Linked DNA regions of Mus musculus. The protein of the gene in region 1 interacts with the protein of each later gene in a pairwise test. Links are inferred from orthologs where the notes say so. Each region holds a gene or a part of one and is shown on either strand. Other genes may lie near its edges. The genes, in order: Mcm10, Mcm6 and Cep72.

Region 1 (8,143 bases):
CCCTCAAAGTTAACCAGTGGTGAGAGGGCTCGGTGGGTAAGAACACTGACTGCTCTTCCAGAGGTCCTGAGTTCAATTCCCGGCAACCACATGGGGGCTCACAACCATCTGTAATAGGATCTGATGCCCTCTTCTGGTGTGTCTGAAGACAGTGACAGTGTATTCGTATAATAAATTCGTATAAATAAAATAGATACAAAGTTAACAATAGTCTGAAAAGCAAAAAAAATACAGTTTAACCAATAACAGTACCTTCCTATAATTGTAATAAGATTACGAAAGTATAAAGTAAACTTTATAGGTAAATCTATGTCCGAGGAAAAGTAATCCTCACTTTAAAATTATTTTTTAATTTACTTTAAGGGAAAAAAAAATGCTTACTGAGGCAGCAAGATAATGAGTTCTAGGCCAATATGAGCTACATAGTGAGATCCTGTCCTAAGAAACCAAAATAACTAAATAAAAATAAACATGAAGTCCCCTGAGCCACTGGAAAGGTTGCTCCCTGTAATGTCCCCTGACCACTATGTGGTAAGGTTCCACATAGTCTGTTACCAGAATAATGACCTAGCAATTACCGGCTTCTTGTCCCAGGCGACCTCGAGTCTCCTCCACAGAAATGAGCAGGAAGATGGCAGGCCGGAAACTAATCAGACTGCCTCAGATCAAGGAGAAGATGGCAACTGAGAACCTGGAAGAGACAGACTGGGTGACGTTTGGGGTTATCCTCAGGAAGGTCACTCCACAGAGTGCTACCAGTGTAAGCTGCTTTACTGACTCCAGAGCTGCTCCTGGCTAGGCTAAAGGGGGTCCCCAGGGCTTCGTCTGGCACCTGCCAGCCCTTCTTTTAAAATAACTTCCAGTAGGCACGCACTCGTCTTTGGGTTGGCATTCTACAGAGAACGTTCCGCTGAGACACAGGCCGCACAGTGGGGCTGCGTGTCGTCCAGTTGTTCTGAGTGCATTTCAGGTCTCACCATTTAGGACACCTATGTTGTCCCTGAGATGCTGTCACTTCTCCTGTGGAGAAGGCCAAGTAATTAGAGTCCACAAATCCCAGAGAACCCTGTGAGAATAAGGTGCTGGGGTCCCTGGCCATGTGGGTGGGGTGTGCACTGAGATAGCTCTTAATAGCAGCAGCAGTGATAATTAGTCACCTGCTGTCCAGTCCTGTGACGGGTATAAATGACGGTGCTATAGCTGCTGCTTGTCTCATACTAGGGTGGTAGTGGGAAGGAGGGGCACACAATCGTCCCTGGGACACTGGGTGGCAGCCAGGCTACCTGCTAAGTTACATACACTCTACTAAATTTCCCTGTGGCCTGTCTTGCTTCTGTTCATCTTACATGAGGCAGGTAATAAAAGCTAAAGCCCAAAGAAAGAATTAATGTATAATTTGATATCCACACTGACACCCGTTTATTTGAGGTGAATTATGTCCAGCTATTTTTCTACAATAAGACTCTATTACATGGAGGCCCTGTAAGCCAGGTTCAAACGTTCGACTGAAATGAACTCTGTTCACTCCAGGGGCAAACGTTTAGCATCTGGAAACTGAACGACCTTCATGACCTGACTCAGTGTGTGTCCTTGTTCTTGTTTGGAGATGTTCACAAAGATCTCTGGAAGACAGAGCAAGGGACCGTCATAGGCTTGCTCAACGCAAACCCCATGAAGCCCAAAGATGGCTTGAAAGAGGTGAGGCTTGAACTCAGCTTGGACTGCTGGGCTGGTGCTTTCTGCACTTCCTTTTGTATCGGAAGCATCTGTGTTAATCTCCCTCTGGGCTTTTCCTGATTCCACATTATTCTGCCTCTTCATTTGCTGGCTCACTGCTTACCGATATTCTGTGAATCTTCTTATTGTAAATGGTTTTGAGTTAGCATCACAGTTCCCAGAGTTTATAACTTTCACGTGTGGAGTGAAAGAACAAACTTGTGGAGTCATTCGCTTCTCTACCTTTCTGTGGGTCTGGGGATTGAACTGGGGACTGCAGCCTTGCTCGGCGAGCATTTGTACTGCTGGGCCATCTCGCCAGCTCAGCTTTACTGAGCTCTCCCACTCGGGTCTCCTTAGGTCCCTGCATAAGTAACAGCCATGGTTGTATCAGGAAATGAGTGTGACACAGCTGACTGAAGTTTGCTTCATTAACCTTGCAGTCCTAGCTGGCGCTTGCAGTGAAGGCTGATCCTCACAGAGTGAGTGCTGTGTTGCTGTTGCTTCCTAACCAGTTGTGTTGCTGCTAACCAGTGTAAACTACAATGGCTAGATAGTTTTTCTGCTCTGTCCCAGCAAGAGCCTTATTTCCAGTAGAGAATGACAAAAGTCTTCATTTGTTGGTTGGGAGTGTATTTGATCATTCATAGCAACACATCAAAAAAACCCTTCATTACAGTTTCTTTAAACAAACAGTGGGATTTAGATGGGTGTGGTAGTTCACACCTATAACCCCAGCAGTTCAAAGGCCAGAGGATTGTCTGTCTGGGCTCCAAAGTCAGATCCTGTCTCAAAATCAAAATAACTGTGTGTGTGTGTGTGTGTGTGTGTGTGTGTGTGTGTGTGTGTGTAGCCTGTGCTGGCCTTGAACTAGCAGCAGGCCTCTTACCTCCAACTCCCAAATTCTAGGATTATAGGTATAAGTTACCATTCCCAACTGTTTTTCCTTTTCTTTCTTCCTTCCTTTTTTCTTTTTTAACTTACTGCCTTTATTAGTTTACTGGGGGCTGGAGGTGGGGTTCATGGGTGTTATCATATATGTGGAATTGAGAGGACAACTTGGGAGAATGGCTTCTCACCTTCCACCCTGTGGGTTCCTAGAGTTGAACTCTGATCATCAGGGTTGATAGCAAGTACCTTTACCCACTAAGCCTTCTTGCCAGCCCAACTTTCTTCCAAGTCCAGTCTAGTATTGTGATAGGTGCAGGAAAGTCACAAGTTTTGGACCAGTCGGGTCTATCCTCTTGTATACAGCAAGAGCCTGATCTCTCCTCACAAAAACAAAAGAGTAGAAACAGGCAGCTTAGTGTTGCCATATCTCTGTGAGTATCTTAGTTACTTTTTTATCCCTGTGAAGAGACACCGTGACCACAGCAACTTATAAAAGAAAGCCTTCCAGTTTCAGAGCGTGAGTCCATGACCATCATAGCGGGGAGCACAGCAGCAGGCAGGCAGGCAGGCAGCAGGTAGGCAGGCATGGCACTATAGTGGTAGCTAAGAGCTTACATCCTGATCCATAAATTTGAGGCAGAGAGACTATGCCCAACTGTGGACTTTTGAAGCCTCAAAGCCAGTGATAACACCTCTTCCAACAAGGTCACACCTCCTAATTCTTCTCAAAATATTTCCAGCCAACCGGGTACCAAATATTCAAATACATCAACCTATGGCGCAATTTTTAATTAAAGTAGTGAGTTTCTGCCTTTCCCTCTTGGTTACAAGATGACAGCGAATCACTATGAAGCAGAATACTTCATCTCCCTACCCTGGGTGGGGAATCTACTCATTGGTTATTGATCCTGGGTTGGGAGGCTCTGAACAGCTTGATATTTTCTGCTAAAATTCCTAGATCTGGTGGGAGGTCTTGCACAAACTCAGCTACCGGGGTGTGAATGCAGTTAGGCAGAACAACTCTGTTACAGATGGGCTGCTCTGTGGGCTCATCCCTCTAAGCTCAGAAGAACTGTCCAGTATAGATGGAGGCGTACCTGTGGCCAAGGTTGCATGGGAGGCTGGCTGAGGGATTCGTTGCCTAGCAACCACTGGGCCCTATGACTTCAAGTGACAGGATGCCCTGTTCTGGGAGCAAGAAGAGAACCCAGGCACCTGAGGACAGTCCTTATCTCAGCCTGTGTTCCTGCCAGGTAGACCTGCCTGAGAATTGGCAGCAGGGAGCAGGAAAACTGAGTCAGCCAAGGTCATTGAGACTGTCCCCCTCCACTTATCACCACTGGTGGCAGGATGAAGAAAGGGGAGCCAGCCTGTCTTTTTTTACTAGGAAATCAAGAACTTCCCTATCAATCCCTGTTTCTGGCTAATTTGCCAAGCCTTAGTCACATGACCATTGTGAGCCACAAGGAATTCTGGGAAACAGGGCTACATCCACTGTCTGCAGTGAGCACTCGGCCAGCCTGGACAGTCAGGATTCTGACAGCTAAGAGGAAGGAAGGGTTGGTTACAGGAAAGGGAGTCGGATTGAGTCTTCAGCACTGCCTAGTGTACAGCTGCTTAGAGCACTGGCTTCACGTGCCTTCCAAAACCAGCTCAGACTGACCTTCGCCCATTCGTAGGATAAAAACCGTAGCACTTACATAAGCTTTCTCTTACAGGTGTGCTTATCTATTGATCATCCTCAAAAAGTCTTAATTATGGGAGAAGCTATGGACCTGGGAGCCTGTAAAGCCAAGAAGAAGAATGGAGAGCCATGTACACAGACAGTTAACTTGGTGGGTCTCAAATCCTTTAGTATTTGCCTATGAACAGTCAATCATGAGGGGTGAGCTTTAGGTGCTGTGGTGGCGATGAGCAAGGGGGAGCACTGGAGGTCACAGGGACTCAGCGAGCGCATAGTGTTGTCTTGTGAGTCTAGGAGAGATGGGTGTCCCTGCTCCCCAGGCCGCTGACCAGAGCCTCATCGCGTCTTCTCCCCGCAGCATGACTGTGAATACTGCCAGTATCACATCCAGGCCCAGTACAAGAAGCTCAGCGCAAAGAGGACTGATCTGCAGTCCACTTTCTCTGGGGGACGGATTCCGAAGAAGTTCCGCAAAGGCACCAGCCTGAAGGAGCGGCTGTGCCAAGATGGTTTCTACTATGGTGGTGTTTCTTCCGAATCCTTCGCAGCGTCCAGGTGAGGCATCTCTCCTGACTGCTCTTGGGAAAGGATTTTGCTTCCCTCTTAAGAGCAAGCGGGTGGTGGACTGTTCCGCAACTGTCCTAGGGTGCTTAAGTGAGCTTCTGTCTTCTTAGATGAAGCCTGAGTGATCAAGGACATCTTTTATTTCTAGGGAGAGAGGAGCACATTGGGAATGAGTAGACAGTGAGTCATGTGAGCCCCTGCTTTACATTTAGCCAGATGTGAAGTCTTGTACCCGCAATCCCAGCTCTGGGGAGACCGAGACAGAACACGAGTCCATGACCAACCTAAGCTGTCTAGGGAGAGCGTGCCCCAAATGGAGAAGGCAGTCTGGAGAGGTAGCTCGGCAGTTCAGAGTGCACACTGTTCGTCAGAGGACCTGAGCTTGTGTCCGTACCCATGGCAGGCGGCTCAACCGCTGTAACGCTAGCTTCAGGAGGTCGATGCTCTCTGTTGTCCTCTCTGGGTCAGTGTACACAAACGTACTCTCATATACACATAAAGAGTAAATGAATAAAACCTTTTTAAGTGAAAGAACAACCAAGAGGTGAAGGCAGCAGAATCAGGAGTCCATGCCAGCCGTGGCAACATTCCAGACCAGCATGGCGCGTATGAGTTCCTGTATCAAAGCAAAAAAGGGTTGATTTTCTTGAGTGGCTGTTATTATTCTCTGTTGTTTTGGTGGTGTTATCGTTATTATTATAGAAGGAGTTTGCAGACCTCTTAGAAACCACTTCTAGCATCATGAACACGTGTGATGTGGCTCACGTGGGGCATGGTGATGCAGGACAGATGATCATGACCCTCTACTGGGATTCTAGACTGTCTAAGGAACCCCAGGTGGTGTGTGACCATGTCATCTTGTTCCTCAAGCAAATTTGTAGGATCTCCATCAGTGATTTAATGTATAAACCAGAACTCCTGGGCTACCAAGCTGTGGCCGGCAAAGCCTGCATGCATGGGGCTTGAGGATCTTGGCCCGTTGGTAACAGGTTCATTGGGAATCCTCATATTGTTTGGGAAGACAATGAGGCTCAAGCACTTTTTCTCTGCTTTGGCACTTGTCGTTACAGGGCGGCGGCCATTGCTCCTAAGAAGAAGGTTCAAACCACGCTGACCAATCTGGTTGTCCGGGGCACAAACTCGATCATCCAGGAAACAAAACAAAAGCTTGGTAATCCTTTCACCCGTCCTCTGTCTCCAGTGGACGCAGTGTGGGACTGAGAATGGCTATGGCTTGCTCATCACCTGAGCTTAGTGGTCGATGTGGCGTAGGCTAAAGGAGAAAGCTTGGTGACTGAGCAGTGAGAGAAATCTTCAGCCTGATCTTAGCGGGTCAGCCTCGCAATATCCAGCAATATCCAGCATTAGTACCACGTTCCCGGCTGATCTCATCAGTTACCTTTCGCTAAAATAGGCCTAGTTAGATAGTGCTGGTCCACCCACACCTTTGGTCCTAAGAGTGACCAGGAACCTGCATGCATATCTTACTCATGCATATTCCAGAAGTGGCATGTCCATGGGTCCCACAATCCTTAGGGGCTTAGTGTTACTCATGCATATTCCAGAAGTGGCACGTCCATGGGTCCCACAATCCTTAGGGGCTTAGTGTTTGATGCCTTTGCTGTCCTACTAGTCTGACCTTTAAGTTAAAAGTTCTGAATTGGCTGGAGAGCTGGCTCAGTGGTTAGGAGCAACGACTGCTCTTCCTGACATCTTGAGTTCAGTTTCCAGCCACCACAAGGTGGCTCACAGCCATCTGTAATGGGATCCAATGCCCTCTTCTGGTATGTCAGAGGACAACTACAGTGTACTCACATACATGAGTAAATCTTAAAAAAAGAAAAAAAGTCTTGCTGTTTGTTTGTTTTGATTTTTGGTGGTATTATTATTACTATATCTGATTCACTAACAGGTTACTAAGTCATGACTGTAGAGTTTAAAACGTGATCTCACATGATATCAAACCATTTACATTTTGAGTCCTATAAAATTAATGTCTACATGTTTCAGGTATTCCCCAGAAGAGCTTGTCCTGCTCTGAGGAGTTCAGGGAATTGATGGCCCTGCCCACATTTGGAGCCAGAAACTTACAAAAGCATCTAGCCAGAGCCAAGGCTTCAGGTAGAGTCAGCGTATGTGATCATGGGGTGTGTGCCCATGTTCCCCAGATCTTTTCTACAACCCCTCAGTGTGTGGCCTGTGTTTTAGGGAGTTCCAAACCTGCCATCCAGTCCATCTCAGCATCAGCCCTCTTGAAGCAGCAGAAACAACAGATGCTGGAGATGCGGAAGAGGAGATCAGAAGACATACAGAAGCGGTAAGAAGAGCAGATCCGGCTCCCTGCCTCCAATCAATGCTCCTGCTCCCAGAGCCTGCTGGTGTGGAGAGCAGTTACTGTGCCCCTGGGAACGAGGAAGGAGACCGTGTGGAGAGGTCTTCTGAGCACTGGCCTTGAGCTCAATTGTTTATCTGCAGAATGAGAAATCTGGGTGCTGTGGTTCTGAAGTGAACAGACTTTGTTATTTCAAACGTGTTGGGCATGGGGCTGGCAAGATGGCTCAGTGGGCAAACGTGACTGCTACTAAGCCATACAAGCTGGGTTCCATCAACAAGGAAATTGCAGTGCCATTTTTGTTAAGGGCTTTTGTTTGATTGGTTGGTTTTGGTTTGTTGGGGGGTTTTTGTTTGTTTTGGGGGGTTTGGTGGGTTTTTTTTTTTTTTTTTTTTTTTTTTGGTTTGGTTTGGTTTAAGTTGTTTGTTTTTCAAGATAGGTTTTTCTGTGTAACCTTGGCTCTCCTGGAACTTGTTCTGTAGACCTGCCTTTGAACTTGAGAGCTGCCTGCTTCTGCCTCCTGGGTATTGGGCTTAAAGGCATGTGCCTCCACCATCTTGTTTAGGTTCTTTCTTTCTTTCTTTCTTTTTTTTTTAATTTTCTGACAGTTCCGTACATGCCTATAAGGAATTGTAGTAATTCACCCGGTGCCATTTCAACTTCTCCTCCCTTCTTCCTTGTGAAGGGTTTCTTATGTATTCCCTTCCTGAAGGATAAACGGAGAAGCAGGGCGATGCAATGAGGCCCTGAGGTCTTACAGCTAACCACACACAGATTTGTGGTTATTTGCCTCTGCATTATAATTTTAGATGTGTGCTGTAGACAGCATCTCTGGCCAAGCCAGTTGGTAAAACGGTCATCAGCTAGGAAGTGATGGAAAATCCACACTATACTCAGTTAGGCGAGAGAAACCTGTGTTCTTAGTTGCTAGTTTGAATTATTAACCAAAGAAAGGA
Region 2 (8,143 bases), on another chromosome or scaffold:
TTTGGTCTTCGTTCTTCTTGAGTTTCATGTGTTTTGCAAATTGTATCTTATATCTTGGGTATTATAAGGGTTTGTGTTTTAGTGTCATGGTTTTCTCTTCTGGTCAGGCAACTCTGAATGCCAGGACATCCATTTTAGCTGCAGCAAACCCTGTCAGCGGACACTATGACAGATCAAAATCTTTGAAACAGAACATCAATCTGTCAGCGCCCATCATGTCCCGCTTTGATCTCTTCTTCATTCTGGTGGATGAATGCAATGAGGTAACCACTGATGCTGCTGCTGGTGTTTCCATTTGTGTTCAGTTTCGTGACCTTTTGTGCCTCTTGGGTGTAATGCGCCTGACCTGAGTTAGTTGTTCTTAGATTTGAGTATTCGACCTTACCATCTCAGATGTGTGTGAACACACAAACAGCCCACTCCCCCACAAGGTCTAGTGTGACTCATGCTGGCCTTGAACTCTCTGTGTAACCCACCATGCCCACGTTTATGGGATACACTCCTAATGATAAGCAGGAAGCTCTATTTCAGTAAGTAATGTAAAACCCTTGCTTCCAACCTGACTTGAGACATTATCTAAATAAAACTGCCTTGCTTTTGTGAATGTTTGGGGGCCTTGGGCTTAGGCTTCTCCTCTTTTCCTTTCACAAGTACACAAACGTAGTTAACTCATGGATAATAGTGTAGTGGCTAAGAGGACACACTGAAGCTAGGCTCTTCAGTCCTGTCCTTACTACTTAGACCTCGGTCAGATAACAAAACTTTTCTGGGACTCAGTTTACTTCTACATAAAATAAAGCTATCATCTACTGCATGAAGATTGCTTCTAGACATACATGGAAAAACAGTTTCATATAAGAAGCTCCTATAAATGCTCTGCTGGGGCTATTTTGAAAATTTTTAAAAATTTTTTTCTTGTTTTGGTTTTTTTATTTTGTTTTGTTTTGAGACAGGTTCTCTATGTGGCCTTGGCTATCCTGAGCTTCACTATGCAGACAATGCTGGTCTCAAAATGACAAAGATCTACCTGCCTCTGTCTCCCAAGTGCTGGGATTAAAAGCATGCACCACCACCATTACTCTAGCTGGTTACTTGCCCCTGTTTTGTTTTGGCCGCTGCCAGTGGCAGTAGCATGTTCGTGTCCCATCCATTGCCCCCCCCCCCAACCCCCTTTTCTTCTGTTACAGCAAATGGGCTGCCTTAGTAAAGGTAGTCAGGTCTGTCCAGGTATTTCAGGGTACTGGAGAGATGGATGTTGTAGTGGTTGGGAGCACTTACTGCTTTTACAGAGGACCAGGCTTGATTCTAAGCCCACCCCTATGTGTATCTTGCAACATCCAGGGGGTCTGAAGCACTCTTTTGGCCTATGGCCACCAGGCATGTACATGATGCAAAACATACACATAGGCAAATACATTTTCTTGTTGCTTTTTTGAGATAGGGTCTCAACATAATTCTGGCTGGTCTGGAGCTTGCTATGTAGGCCAGGCTGGCCTCAAACTCACAGAATTTCTGCCTCCCCCAGTGCTAGGATTAAAGACATATGCCATCATACCCACCATAAAATGTATTTATTTTTTAATTTAAAAATATCTGTAGGGCTGGTGAGATGGCTCAGTGGGTAAGAGCACCCGACTGCTCTTCCAAAGGTCCGGAGTTCAAATCCTAGCAACCACATGGTGGCTCAAAACCATCCATAACGAGATCTGACTCCCTCTTCTGGAGTGTCTGAGGACAGCTACGGTGTACTTAAATATAATAAATGAATAAATTAAAAAAAAAATCTGTAAAACCTTTGATCGTGGGGCTAGAGAGATGGCTCAGCAGAAGTTAATTTTGTCTTGTTTGAAGATAGGGTCTCCTGGAGCATATACTGGCCTTGAACTCTTATATAGTTAAGGCTTAACTCCACTGAGGTTCCTGCCTCTACCTCCTAAGTGCTGGAATTGATCGCAGGCCTTTACTCCTAGTCTGTCACTTGTAGCTAGACATCATCCCTTACTGCGGATAGATAGTACTTGGGAGTCAATACTACTATGACTGACAGAAGTTCTCTTGTTCTGGATCAGGTGACAGATTATGCTATTGCCAGGCGCATAGTAGACTTGCATTCAAGAATTGAAGAATCGATCGATCGAGTTTATTCCCTTGATGATATAAGAAGGTACCTTCTCTTTGCCCGACAGTTTAAACCCAAGGTAATCTGCCCTGCCAGACCTGGATAAGTCGTGGTGTGTGTGGGTGTTAGAACTAGGTGTGAATAAATGGGTTCTGTGGAAATTAACCGAACTGAGTTTTAGCTTTGGTTTTGGTCTTTTGAGGCAGTCAGGGTATCCATTGCATAGTCTAGGCTAGCCTCAAACTCAATCCTGCTTTAGATGCCCACTTCTCTATCTATAGGAATGTGCCAATATGCCTATCTGTATTCATTTTTTAAATATCCTCAAATCTTTAGCTTATTGTTTGAGAATTTTATTCTTGAATAAGATATGTTTTTATAAATCCACCTCTCGCTTCTAGGCTTTTTATTCCTTCCATATCCACACCACTTTTCCTTCCTAACTTTGTACACTCCTTTTAAAACCCTCTAAGTCCACTATAATCTCCTTAAATTTTAAGTTTTTATGTTGTTCTGAGTACTGGTTTCTTCAAAGATGGTTAATTTGTTAAGTACTGAAAAAATATTTTAGCCAGGCATGGTAGTCTATATAGTGAAACCCTGTCTAACAATAAGGATTGTGAGCAACTTTCATGTAAAGAGTGTGAATTTGCCAATAATACTACTGTTTACTGAGTTTCTTGCTCTGTAAAACTGAGGGCCTTTTAAGTCAGTATATGCTGTCTTTTTCCCTCAAGCCAGTATAAGTTCATGAGCTTATACTGACTCAGGATAGACTTAGTGCTAATGAGCTTTGACATCTTGAGGTACATTTCATTTTATTCTATTTATTGCTTCATGTGTTAAACATCATTTAGAAATGGTCAATTGCTTATACTGGTCCATTGTCTTCATATTCATAGAATTAGGACATGAATTTATAGGCTTCTGAGTGTCAGTTTTTTTAATTAATTTACTGTCTTTGTGATAAAGTTTCAACCTCTGCCCTCTGTTTCCTGGAGTGCTTCCATCCAGGACCCTCTTTACCTGACATTTAATGTAGTCGATCAAGTGTGTGTGTGTGTGTGTCTGTCTGTCTGTCTGTCTGTCTGTCTGTCTGTGTTGTATGTATATAAATAAATATCTCCTTGACTTGACTGGTTTTTAAACAGATTTCCAAAGAGTCAGAAGACTTCATTGTGGAGCAGTACAAACGTCTCCGCCAGAGGGATGGCTCTGGGGTCACCAAGTCCTCGTGGAGAATCACCGTGCGACAGCTTGAGAGCATGATCCGACTCTCAGAATCAATGGCCCGCATGCACTGCTGTGACGAGGTACCAGCCCCTCTGATAACACGGGAACAGGAATGCATGAGTTGACTTTTAGGCGGGTTTTTATCTTTGTTATGGAATATCTCACAGCCAGTTGATAACTATTCTCCCAGTAAAAAGGTTGCTATCATAGGTTTATGAGGTATGCTGTCTAGACTAATAGTGATGGATAAAAGTGTTTATTATAATCAGTAAATTATGGAGTGCAGATACAGGTGAGTACTTACGCAAGAGAAACCTATTTAATCTCTACAGTGGCCTTGGCCTCTGGCTGGGAATACAAACGTGACTGTGACTCCTGCCTCAGAGGACTCTTCCTCCTTAGGGTTGTATAATCAGTGTGTGGCGGGTGTGGGCATTATTTTGGGTTTGCATATGCTGGGGCAAAATTCAGGGCTTTGTGTATGCTAAGCACACTCATGACTCTTACCTTAGCTCCATAGATTTTTAATTGCTCTTGGTGCCCTAGACTCAAAGCAAATGTCGGATTATGGGAAGGGGTGATATTGGAAGCCACATATCTGCTTCAAACTAAGAGGCTTTTGTGTACTTTTATATACAGAGTTCATTTAGGATTCAAATTTTGTCTGTGAAAGGACTAGGTTCATTTGTTTGTTGTGTTTCTGAAACAGGTGCTCTTTTGGTAACCTGGCTTAAATTCCCAGCCCTCTGCCACAGACTACCATGGATGGAATTATAAATGCAGTTAGGTTTTGAGATAGCATTTAAAGCCCAAACTGGCCTTGAACCCAGCATTGTATCACATGCCTATAATCCCGAGGCTTAGGAGGTAGAGGCAGGAGAATCATGAGTTCAGACTCATCCTCATCTGCAGTTCAAGTTTGAGGCCAACTTGAGCTCAATGGGTCTTTGTCTCAAAAAATGAATCAATAAACAAGATTTGGGAATGTTGTAGATACGGGGGGGGGGGGGAGCCTAGATTCAGTTCTCAGTACTGTAAGGGAAGGGAGAAAGGAAGAAGCCACGTGGTGGTGGTGGTACACGCCTTTAATTCCAGCACTCAGGAAGCAGAGGCAGGTGGATCACTGTGAGTTCAAGACCAGCCTGATATACATAGGTAGTTCTAGGATAGCCAGGGCTACACAAAGAAACCCTGTCACAAAACAAGGAAAAAAATAAAGAAAATTGAACTGGGGAGATTGTGTGGTTTATGGTTAAGAATATAGAGGGCCCAGATTATATTCCCAGCAACCATGTGATGGTTTCCAACTGACATGACGCCAGTCCTAAGGGATCCAATACCTTCTGGCCTCTGCAGGCTTTGAGTGCATATGGTGCACAGACATAATTACAGACAAATGCACATTAAATAAAAACAAGCCGGGCGTGGTGGTGCACGCCTTTAATCCCAGCACTTGGGAGGCAGAGGCAGGCGGATCTTGCAAACCAGAGTTTGGTTCTGTCTTAGTCCTGCACAAAACATCAAATTGGGGAGGAAGGGGTTTATTCAGTTTACACTTCCACATCGCTGTTCATCAACAAAGGAAGTCAGGACTGGAACTCAAGCAGGTCAGGAAGCAGGAGCTGATGCAGAGGCCACGGAGGGATGTTACTTACTGGCTTGCTTCCCTGGCTTGATCAGCCTGCTCTCTTATAGAACCAAGACTACCAGCCCAGGGATGGCACCACCCACAATGGGCCCTCCCCACCCTTGATCACTAATTGAGAAAATGCCTTACAGCTGGATCTCATGGAGGCATTTCCTCAACTGAAGCTCCTTTCTTTGTGATAACTCCAGCTTGTATGAAGTTGACACACAAAACCAGCCAGTACAGGTTCCCAAAACCCACATTGGGCTGCTTACAACTGCCGGTAATTCCAGCTCCAAGGGATCCAGCACTCTGGTTTTTTGAGACAGGGTTTCTCTGTGTATCCCTGGCTATCCTAGAACTCAGAAATCCACCTGCCTCTGCCTGCCGAGTGCTGGGACTAAAGGCGTGCACCACCACCGCCCAGCTGAATCCAGCACTCTTCACCCCTCCACAGGCATCTGCACTCGTGAGCACATACCCACACACAGATCCATAGAATACATACATAGATGCAGCTGTGTCAGTTCATATACGCCTGTGGAAAGTGACAGTTAGTCTGTGATCTTGATAGTGTATGATATTGTCGGTCATTTCAACCATCTTAGTGAGTTAATAGTGCCATATAGGGGAGAGCACCGTGTTCTTAGCTGTTTGGTATAAAATATCTTAACATAACTAACTGGTCTGATTATTGCCTTAGGTTCAGCCTAAACATGTGAAGGAAGCTTTTCGATTACTGAATAAATCAATCATCCGTGTAGAGACGCCTGATGTCAATCTAGATCAAGAGGAAGAGATCCAGATGGAGACGGATGAGGGACAAGGAGGCGTCAATGGTGAGGAGCTTGCTCATCTCATTGCCTGTCTATAGACAGGCTCCAGTCTTGCAGGGTGTCGTGGTACCAGCACACTTGTCAGTGGCTGTGAATGGATGTATTCAAAGGGGATTTTAAATTAACTATAAGCTGAAGGACAGTAGGACAGCTAAGTGGTTGTACAAAGTATATATGCTTGGAGACCAAAAGAAAGCATGTCACAATGAACAGATCCTTTGTCCTCTACTCTTGCATACAATATTCTGTTTAGCTCTTGAACTTGAAATATGTTCTTGGGCAAGTAGAAGGTTCAGTGGGTAAATAACCTTATCTGAAAACCTGGTGCATGTAAAGGTAAGAGGACTGAATCCTGTGATTTCTGTATACGCACAATGGCAAGTTCACATGCGTCCATATACATAATAGCAATTTAAAAGATTCTTAAACTTCTCGATCACATTGAACAGGTGAATAATATTATTTTTTTCCTTATAACACTACAAATTGACTTTGTCAGATGCCGGGGAAAGGTCTCACTAGGTAGCCTAAGTTGTCTTAAATCTCTAGCCTCTGGTTCAGCCTTTTAAGTGCACAAATTATAGGTGTGTGCCACTGTGCCCTGCTGCAAATGGTATCAATAAGATCTCTGTCCCCATCTCTGACACTCTTCTCAAGCCAGTTGTCTTCACTAGTAGGATTTTAATTTGTTTCAGATTTATCTATAAAATGGCTGTTTTCTGAAGTTTGTACTAAGCATAGAGAGTGTGCATGGGCACTAGATGGGCATGTTGAAGTCACCAGGAAGGACTTAGGTGGTTATTTCCTTCCTTAGGTCATGCCGACAGCCCTGCCCCTGTGAATAGGTTCAACGGCTCCAGTGAAGATGCCAGCCAGGAGACTGTTTCCAAGCCCTCCCTGAGGCTGGGCTTTGCTGAATACTGCCGAATCTCGAACCTCATCGTGCTCCACCTCAGGAAAATGGAAGAAGGTGAGTATGTTTCCCACGCTGCTTATCTGCTGTGGGTCTTACACGCGCTCTCTGCCACTTGTGATGTTAAGCCTTGTGTTAAGCTTCAGAACTCAGAAGAGATGATGGTTTGTGTTGGCTCACTTTAGGAGGGAGCCTGGGTAGTATCAGCACAGCCTCCCTACAAGCTCATTGTCAGTAGAGTACAGATCATTCTACAATACAGGACATAAATAAATACCGATGTTCCTGTATTTAGCTTATGATTTTGAAGCAGAATCTTTAGATCTGATGATATAAACAACATTTTTGCAGGTGGAAATGACTATAGTTGCTTTCTTACCAACAGATGTCTTGCAGGATATTTGTGTTTATCTACAAAATACCACAGATGTAATACAATCCTCCTTTGTACCTGGTCGGTGGGGCACTTGCCCGCTTTTTACCCTTGACTGCTTTGCCATGGTTTCATATCGGTTTCACAGTTAGCCATGGGTAAGAGGAGAAGCCATCATCTGTTAGAGCTGAAGTTCATTCTTTTTGTGGGTGTAGCCACTTGTGTATGGGTGTCCATGGAGACCAAAAGGCACTTGGCTCCCCCAGAGCTGGAGTTACAGTAGGACGGCTCTGTGATGGCTTCTAGGCGTAATTCACCATGCACAATTCCAATCCGTGCTGCAGACTTTCACAGCCATGTTCAGCTAGTACTTGAAAGAAACTGAAGTAGACTCAGAAGTAGATTCTGGCTGAATGCAGTGCCTACACTTAGTCTTAGCAGTTTGGCAGAGGCAGGTTTGTCTCTGAGTTCAAAACCAGCCTGGTCTACATAGTGAGCTCCAAGCCAGCCAAGGCTACAAAGTGGTTATCTGGTCTCAAAAAAACAAACAAACAAACAAACAAACCCTGAAGAGGAGCTTACAAATCCATGTGATTGTGTGTGTGTGTGTGTGTGTAGTGGTGAGGACTGGACATCCTAAGCACATGCTCTAAAATTACTGATCTTTACTTTTGCACCTTATTTTGCAGTTTCTAAAATCAAGCTTACGGTTTTTCCTGTGTGTGCCATGAATTGTGTGGCAGTTTGCTAGAGGTCAGTCCTTTTCAATAATGTGTTTGTTTGGTTGCAGAGGAGGACGAGTCGGCACTAAAGAGAAGCGAGCTTGTCAACTGGTACCTGAAGGAAATCGAATCAGAGATAGACTCTGAAGAAGAGCTCATAAATAAAAAGACGATCATTGAGAAGGTTGTTCATCGTCTCACACACTACGTAAGTGTCCACTGCCTGGGCTCCAGGGCACTGTGAGGGAGTGCCTCTATCTGCAGGCTTTCTGATGAATCATTGGGGAGCGGTCATAATTGTAGTTGAGGAAAATTAACCG
Region 3 (8,143 bases), on another chromosome or scaffold:
GGACTTCCGGCTTAACCCCGTTGTGAAGAATGAGTCTGACTACCGCCTGTTTGTCGTGCACATGCTCCCGAAGCTCCGACAGCTAGGTGGGTGGAGGAGCTGTCGCCCTCCCAACCGCCCACAGTGGAGCTGCTCCTGGATAGATTATGCTGCTGTTCCATGCTGGAAACTGAAGCAGGTTTTTTTGCACTGATGGCCCAAATCCCTGTCAGCTCTGGGGTATCTTTCATCCTCCTGGAGTCAGTCTTGCTAGTCAGCCAAGTTTTAGGCCTAGTGAGAGGCCTTATCTCAAAATCAAGATGGATAATACCTGAGAAAAGACACCCAAAGGCAGTTTACATTTGACCTCCACATGCACAAATGTGTATACATGCATTGGTAAACACATGTGTACACAACACACACACCACTATCACCATCACCACCACTACCACCATCACCACCACCACCACCATCAACAACAACAACAAAATGCCAAGTTTACAAGGTCATTCCTGAGTTAATATCTGTAAGTTCTCAGGATAGTGTTGTATGACTTGTAGGTCAAGGAGCTTATAAGCATTTCCTGGAATTTCTGTTGTTATTGGGGTCAGACCTCCTGTGCCTAGAGGATCATCAAAGCAATAGAACTACTAAAGTTCTATTAGAAATATAGAAAAATAGACCACGTTTCCTCCATGGCAAATGCCTGACGGCACAGAGTTTGCCATTCAGAGTCTTTTGGAAAAAGTAGAGTTCAGATGCTTGCTTTTGGGCCAGTGGGTAAAATAGATAAAGATACTTGCTACCAAGTCTGATGACCTGAAATAATTCTCAGGAAACACATGGTGGAAGGAGAGAACTGCTGCAAGTTGCCCTTTGACCTCCACATATGCACTGTGACACATGTGCACTCACACTCATATATATACACACAAATATGTACATAAATATAATTTTCTAAAAAGATACAGCAGTAGCAAAAAGAGAGCTACGGCTTGAGTGTCTTCAAACTTGTCTGGATAATTTTAGTTCAGCTTGGCCCTTATATGTAGACTGGCATGTGTTGGCCGGTTCTGAGTCAGCTCTGGATTTCTACCCACTACCTTAATTCAGGACAGACATCGTCAGTCAGTCTGCCAGCTTTCCCATAGGTAGTCCTAGCCTTACACATCCATTCCTCAGGCCTGGAAGATAGACACTGTGTAAGTCCTGCCCTGTGGGTTTATCAGTATGGCAAGAGCTTCATGAGTGAATATCAAGTTAAATTCATCCATAAAGTCTGGGCTATCTTGACATAGCACCAAGAGCTAGAATGTTTTGACCATGAACTGATCTTCTGTGTGTAAATGGTGTTCTGATGCCTTAAACTCCCTTTCCCTGTATCTCAGAGATGTTTCTAGAGATAGCAGAGGAATTTAGCAACATGAAAAGCACATGTTCCTTTTGTTTCATCCTTCTGTAACAGTGTTAATTAGTGGGGTGAATTATTCCTTGCAAAGCTGTCCTCATTGGTCAGCAACAGTTTGGCTATTATCAGAAGCCACCTATTTAGTAACTCAGTTGGGACTATTTTCTTCAATCCTCGAAAGGAAGCTTGGGGACCTGGCATAATAGCCCTGAGTATGGGCTGGTCTCTCCTAGCCCAACAGGTTACATTTCCACAAGAGTTCAGCTCCTAGGGCAGGATGGGCCAATAGCAATGGTGAGCAAGCCTGTCTTGTTTGTGACTGGTAGTCCATTACCCATGCAGTGGTGATCATGTATCTCTAACCTTAAGGTAGTTGTTGGCCAAAGGTGGAGGGTACCTTTGAGTGCCTGTACCTTCTGTGTCTTGACCCAGAGAGCCCAGTTCCCTCACATTGTGAGTACTGATGCTTTAGTCCCCGTGGTAAGACCTCATGTCCTTCATTTGGTTCAGTTTTGATGAAACTCCTAGCCATAAGATGTGCTATGGACACTGTTAGATTACAAAGTGTTGAGCCTGGGTGCAGTTGGACCAACTGCCTAGAGCACATTGTTTAGTTAAAACATACTTGGAATTTCTGTGTTTAATTTGAAGATACTTGGAAGGAATATGTGCTGTGTTCTATCCTTTATTTGACTGTTTAAGTAACTTATAAACAGTTGAGTTTGGCTTTGTATTTAGAAGCATTACAATTATGGGTAGTCTTGAATTCTTCAGGCTTAAATCACTGCCTTCCCCTTGCCAGAAACGTTTAGATTCAGAATCACAGAGTTTGTATGGAAAAGGAATGTAAGAGGTATTTTCATACACAGCAAAGGGATATTATTGAAATCAGCGCCATTGGAAAAATCCTCTCCAAAGGCTCTGAATGGGCAGATGCTGGAAGAGCATCTTGGTCCTGTACAGGGCCTGCAGAGGGCCTTGGTCCTGGTTGTAGGTAGGAGACTCTGGATAGGTTGTAGAGAAAGGAGCAAAGGGGTAGTCTGATGGCTGTAGGATGCAGTAGGGTCTGAGAAGATGCTGCTGCCAGGAAAGGTGGAAGTGTGTGTGTGTGTGTGTGTGTGTGTGTGTGTGTGTGTGTGTGTGTGTGTGAGGGGGGTGAACTTTAATGGCTTTGGAAGATTTATATTTGAGTTCTGGTGGAGTAGTCCAGGGATTTGCACAGCCTCTGAGGGGAAAGTAGCTCAGCTTAGACATGTTCTCCTAGTCCAGAGAAGACACGTATAATTATGCAACATTGTGGGGGTCTTCCTCACTTTTTATTATTTTTTATAACTGTGTGTCATACAGTAAATACTGTTTAGAAGATAGCATGGGACCCTAACTACATAAAATGAGGAAAGTTCTAAGACTAAGGCCTTCTCATCCTTAGGTACTTATATAAGACATGTCAGAAGGCTCTTTGGTCAAGGCCTTCTGAGGCTTTGTATCTCTATATGGGACATTTGGGATTTCTCCTCTGTTTCTGTGTTCCAGCATTGGGCTTCTGGGGACTCACCCTTAAGAGCAAACTCACATAGTCGGAATCTTCATTGTGGGGAGGACTCTCCTCTATGCAGACCCTTTTGTGTGCTTGTGTGACAAGACTTATCCAGTGTCTGGCATGCACATTTAATAAACATTTAAGAAGCATGCCTTAAATGTACACCTTATAAGTCCTACTTTTGCAAAGAGCATCAGCCTGTTCCAATAGCAGCTCATAAACAGCAAGCTTTATGGGCATAGGCCAGCCTCTTGGCATTGTTGGGAAGCCAAGTGTAGCCACCAGAGCCCATCATTCTAGTATGATGCATGCCATTTGATGATGAAAGCTTGTGTCAGCCATGGAGCACCAACACCTTCAGGTATTGTGAGCTCCAGAAAGGGAGAGCTAGGTGTGTCCGCTCTCATGAAGAACATGGCAGTCATCTGCCCCTGTTCTCTACAGTTCTTGGGAATTTTCTCTTTAGATGACCGTCCTGTGAGAGAAAGTGAGCGGAAAGCTTCCCAGCTTCATTTTGCCCCAGAAGATTCACTGAACTCAAAGGAGAACTTCTCAACCACTTTAACCGTTGGAAGGTATGGACTAATGTGGTTCCACTCAGATGGATTTCAAATTTGCCTGTCGACAGGGCATTCAGCCGTCAGGCATGAGTGTCTGTGTGCCACCTATCCCTGAGGGACAAGTATGCAGAGCAGATAGAAGTTCTCAGTTCTGACTGGGACTCAAGTAGGTGGTGGTAGACATCTCTTTCTCTGTTTCTTCCAAAGTTCTTTAGTACTGCCAGTCCGTTTCAAACAAGAAAGCTGCTGTAAAGACAGCCACACCTCAGAACATTGCATTTGGATTCCTTGGCATCTCTTGTGTTAGCTTTTTCTTTAATTTTGCTGTTCATATTATGGCACTAAGGGAGAGCATGTCTTAGTCGTCTTGGCCTCAATATGTAGTTTATGGAGAAATTTGTTTTCTGTTTTTAATCTTTTCCCTTTCATATATGTATATTATTTTAGTTAGTTTCTGTTGCTGTGATGAAACACTGTGTCCTAGACAACTTGGGGAAGAAAAGGTATATTTCGCTTTACTTCAGGTGATAGTCCATCAGTGAGGGAAGGCAAGGCAGGAACTTAAACAGAGCAAGAACCTGGAAGCAGGAGCTGATGCAGAGGCCATGGAGGGGTGGTGCTTACTGGCTCGCTCCTCATAGCTTGCTTAGCCTGCTTTCTTATAGAACCCAGGGCTACCAGTCCAGGGATGGCTCTACTCACAATGGGTTAGATTCTCCCCTGTCATTAATAAAATATCCTCCAGGCTTGCCTGTACCCCTCTTCTTAATTGAAGTTCCCTCCTCTCAGATGGCTTTAGCTTGTGTTAAGTTGACATAAAACCATCCAGCATACACATATTTTTAGGAAACTTCTACAGTAGCAGATTTTCACAGAGCTCCCCAAATAGCCCTTATTGTTAGTTGTCCTCCTGATTTCCCTCCCTCCCCTCTTCTTCTATCACCAATGCCCATCTAAGCTCTCACTCCAGTCTCCCGTGCCTTTCTCTGATGTTATATTCTATTTCCTCTTCCTTGGGAGGTCCCTTTCCCCCTTCTAATCCCTTAATGGTCACCTAACCTCTGAGGTGATGAGGGCTGTAGCACACATATCAAGGGCTTAAAAGGTAACATCCACATCTAAAAGAAAACAGACAATATTTGTCTTCTGGGGTCTGGATTATATCATTCAGGATGATTTTTTTTCCCCTAGCACTGCCCATTTACCAGAAAAATCCATTTTCTTGACAGCTGAATAATATTCCATCATGTCAAAGTTTGGTAGCATCTCTGGAAGCCAGTCAGTTTCTCTCTAGTCAGTTGGATGTATTGTTCTTAAGCATTGAAGTTGACATTGTTTGGTGACAGTTCTGAACAATTTCTGTGAATATTCTTCTTTGTTGTATATGACCCCTGAAGTTTCAGTTTAATTAGCTTATTGACTAGTGATTAGTCAAAGATTGCCATTCGTATATGGAACCAAAAAGTTAAAGGCTATGTTATACATGCCTCACTCAGCATAAATGTAGGTAAATATAAGCATCCGGAACATGTAGTTCTTTAAGTTTCTTGATCACATGCATTTCTTGTGAATGTGTCAAGAAAAGAATAAGTTGAATTCTAACCTGTTAGAAGATTGTAGAAACAGAGGAACATTCTAGAATTTATATTTTTTAGCTATTTCTAGTGGACTTCTGTTTAATGCTGAGGCAATAGTGTTGGTGGCATCTCAGACATTGTTATTGGTTGCCAGTTGTGCTAGGTAAGTCCCTCTTCCAGGTCACTTTATAATGAGAGCCATGCTAGGCTGGGACTATACCTGGGCCTGTGGACACCGAGAAGTTTCCTTTTCCCTTGCAGACCACACCACCTCAGAAACAGATGTACTGAGACCTCGGCCAAAAAATGCTTGGTCATGGATGCTGATGATGAGGCTGTCCTGAACCTTATTGCCGAGTGTGAATGGGACCTAAGCAATCCTCCTGGGAACATGAGCTCCAGCCAAAAGGAACATGAAGCTGACCTCCATTATGCCCAAGGTGCGCACCGTAGTACAGTGAAGGCTCCATGGGTCAGACAGGCCCTGGCTTGAGCATATACTTAGAGTGCTTACAGTTTTGACTCTGAATACTAGTATTTTGACTATGAAATTACAAAGGGAAAAGTTAACGGCCCTAACTTGAGTCTAGTCATAATTGCAGTGTTTTAATCTCATTCTTTCTCAGAGCATAGGGGGAAAAATGTCTGAGTTAAACAAGAAAGCTAGATGTCTCCAGCACCTGTGAGGAGTAGTTAGCCACTTGGATCTTTTGAAATCCTGGTGCTCAAGAGCCTGGTTAGGCCACTGTTCTACCAGGATCTCAGAACTTCCCAAACCCTGTGAACTTAATGTGCCTTTCACCAGAGACCTGCTTGTAAACCTTAACTTAATGTCTTGTATTCCACCATGAATTTCCCAGAGCCGTTCATGCTGGGCCAGCAGCTCCTGTGCCGCAATCTCCCAGTACTGCTGTCTTCAGTCCTCTGAACCCTAGTTCCTCCCCTGGGTGTGTGGGTGTGTTCGTTCTAACTTACCTTTTCCTGGCAGGTATTGATGTGGTGCTGGCCGTCTATATCTTCTCTTATGATACTTTAAAGCCTCCCACCCTGTTGTTTAATAGCTTATTTCTTCTTTTGTTGTTGAATCATACAAATTACGTGTGGATTTTGGATCTAAGACCTTTCTTTTCATTCTACGGATTGATTGCCTTTTCACATTCCTAACAGCGCTTCAAAGAACAGCTAAGCAATTAGACAGTTTTTCTAAACTAGAATGTGCTCTGTTGTGCCCTACTACAGACCTTTTCCCATCCCATGCCATAGAAGGACTGCCCAGGTTTATGCACAGTCCACCGTTGGAGTCAGGGCTGAGTGGCTTGAGAGTACGGCATCACTGGTCAAGACTTCTCCCACTTCCAGTTATTCTGAGCATCTGTTGAAAAGAGACATCATTACTCTGGGCTTTCATTAAGGGAGTTAATTTGCATCTATTTCCCAATCTGTAAAGTCTCTCTTCTATACACTGCCATCCCATCTTGGTTACTTGGTATTGAGTCTTGTCACCCTTGAACACTGACATTTTCCTGCCGGTAGACTATCCGGAATTCACTGCAGTGTTGACTGCTATATTAACCTACTCAGTATTTTTCGTCTTACTTAATTGACTTAAGAAAAGTATATTTTATAGATTACATTGCTCTCACAAACTTAAACTGTAATCTTTAATAAAATAAGATTTAAAATGTTTTTAATAAAATAGAGTCCAGACATCTGTTGAGTCCTTTGTCCATCCAGCACCAGTGTGGGGATTCAGCGAGGCGAGGCCATGAGAAGAAGAAAGTCACCTCCAGAGGGTGTCCAGGTCATTCACCGCAGGACCAGCTCTGTGGGGAACTCCCCCTACAGCATGGCTTGCCAGAGGCCTGCCATATGCACGTACAGCATGCCCGCATCACTTCACAGCCAGGTAACCGCCCAGTCCTGCCAGGATCGAGCTGCCTTTCTAAATAAGTGTCTACACATTATTCACAGTGTTTGCTATAACTCTTGAAATTTTTCCTGATGTCTTTATACTTATATATGAAGCTCTAAATTATCTTTGGAAAGGATTTAGCACATCAAAATTTATCACACACCCGTATTTTGGATTGTTAGTTTGGAAATTTCTTGGTATTTTTCCATTGTGCACACACCCTCTTTCTCTGCCTCTCACATTTCTTCCTATCCCTCTTTAGTCCCATAGACAGGTGTTTTCTTCTAAATACATAGGCCAAGCTCATGAAACTAGCTACATTTTTAATACCAAGGATGAGGAAAGTTGAATAAGTTAATTAAGAGTACCATGGGTACAGTGTAAGTATCAAAACTTGAAGCGCTTGTTTCAGTCACATTTGTGAGGCTTTCAGAAGCACAATCAATGGTTAGGTAATGGGCTGTTCAGAGTTTTGGGCTGCGGTTAAGGTAGAGCCATGTTCCTGTTCAATGCCTTCCCCGCTGTCATTGTTCTTCCCTAGACAAGAGTTTGTCTGCCCCTCCCAGAGAGAGTATTAGTAAGTAAATACATGGACCTCCCATGTTATTTTATTATCCCTGCCTATTTCATATCTTGGAAACACACATGTGTGATGTTGTCAGAGAACTTATATTGACACATCTATTCTGTATGAGCTTATGCAGAGCAAGTACTGATGAAAGCCTGCTACTTAACAAGAATGGATTCTGTCCACTTTGTCCAGGTTCTTCTCAAAATCCCTGTTTTTCCACATGTGCTTCCTCATGTCCCTCCCTCCTTCCCCCTCCTTCTCCTCTTCCTCTCATGGGTCTTTGTGTGTGTGTCTGTCCATACCCACGTGTGTGCTCACATGCACATATATAAGCATGTGTTTGTTTCATGTGCCTGTGTTTGGTGGATACACATTCACATTTGTGAATGTAATTTTTAAAAATATAAAACAAGACTCCAGATCCCTGAGAATTCAGTCTAATAAGGGTTCTGCCCACTTTCTCTGTATTACAGACTCTGTGGATGTTGAGGACTGTGCTTCATCTGCTCAGAAATCAAGTTTGTCATCACAAAAAACAGTAAATCCTTTGCCTGTCCCTGAAAAGTACAGGAAGCGAAGGATGCCTGGTGGGA

The links.
Region 2: the proteins of Mcm10 (region 1) and Mcm6 interact in binary tests that used the Homo sapiens proteins (3 or more experiments, as listed by UniProt). The two-hybrid records come from large-scale screens. The link is inferred for Mus musculus from reciprocal best matches to the Homo sapiens genes MCM10 and MCM6.
Region 3: the proteins of Mcm10 (region 1) and Cep72 interact in a two-hybrid assay, tested with the Homo sapiens proteins (2 studies listed by BioGRID and IntAct). The two-hybrid records come from large-scale screens. The link is inferred for Mus musculus from reciprocal best matches to the Homo sapiens genes MCM10 and CEP72.

Annotation. Positions count from the first base shown.
Region 1 is NC_000068.7:4,997,563-5,005,705, reverse strand, and holds part of Mcm10 (protein MCM10 homolog), read left to right. Parts: intron 1-594; coding exon 595-760; intron 761-1,530; coding exon 1,531-1,698; intron 1,699-4,325; coding exon 4,326-4,442; intron 4,443-4,649; coding exon 4,650-4,846; intron 4,847-5,925; coding exon 5,926-6,026; intron 6,027-6,865; coding exon 6,866-6,976; intron 6,977-7,063; coding exon 7,064-7,172; intron 7,173-8,143. UniProt on the Homo sapiens protein: Acts as a replication initiation factor that brings together the MCM2-7 helicase and the DNA polymerase alpha/primase complex in order to initiate DNA replication. Additionally, plays a role in preventing DNA damage during replication.
Region 2 is NC_000067.6:128,333,405-128,341,547, reverse strand, and holds part of Mcm6 (DNA replication licensing factor MCM6), read left to right. Parts: intron 1-107; coding exon 108-263; intron 264-2,069; coding exon 2,070-2,198; intron 2,199-3,270; coding exon 3,271-3,432; intron 3,433-5,682; coding exon 5,683-5,818; intron 5,819-6,629; coding exon 6,630-6,785; intron 6,786-7,891; coding exon 7,892-8,031; coding exon of another isoform or gene 8,032-8,067; exon of another isoform or gene 8,068-8,143. UniProt on the Homo sapiens protein: Acts as a component of the MCM2-7 complex (MCM complex) which is the replicative helicase essential for 'once per cell cycle' DNA replication initiation and elongation in eukaryotic cells.
Region 3 is NC_000079.6:74,050,245-74,058,387, reverse strand, and holds part of Cep72 (centrosomal protein of 72 kDa), read left to right. Parts: coding exon 1-86; intron 87-3,396; coding exon 3,397-3,505; intron 3,506-5,328; coding exon 5,329-5,507; intron 5,508-6,766; coding exon 6,767-6,973; intron 6,974-8,023; coding exon 8,024-8,143. UniProt on the Homo sapiens protein: Involved in the recruitment of key centrosomal proteins to the centrosome.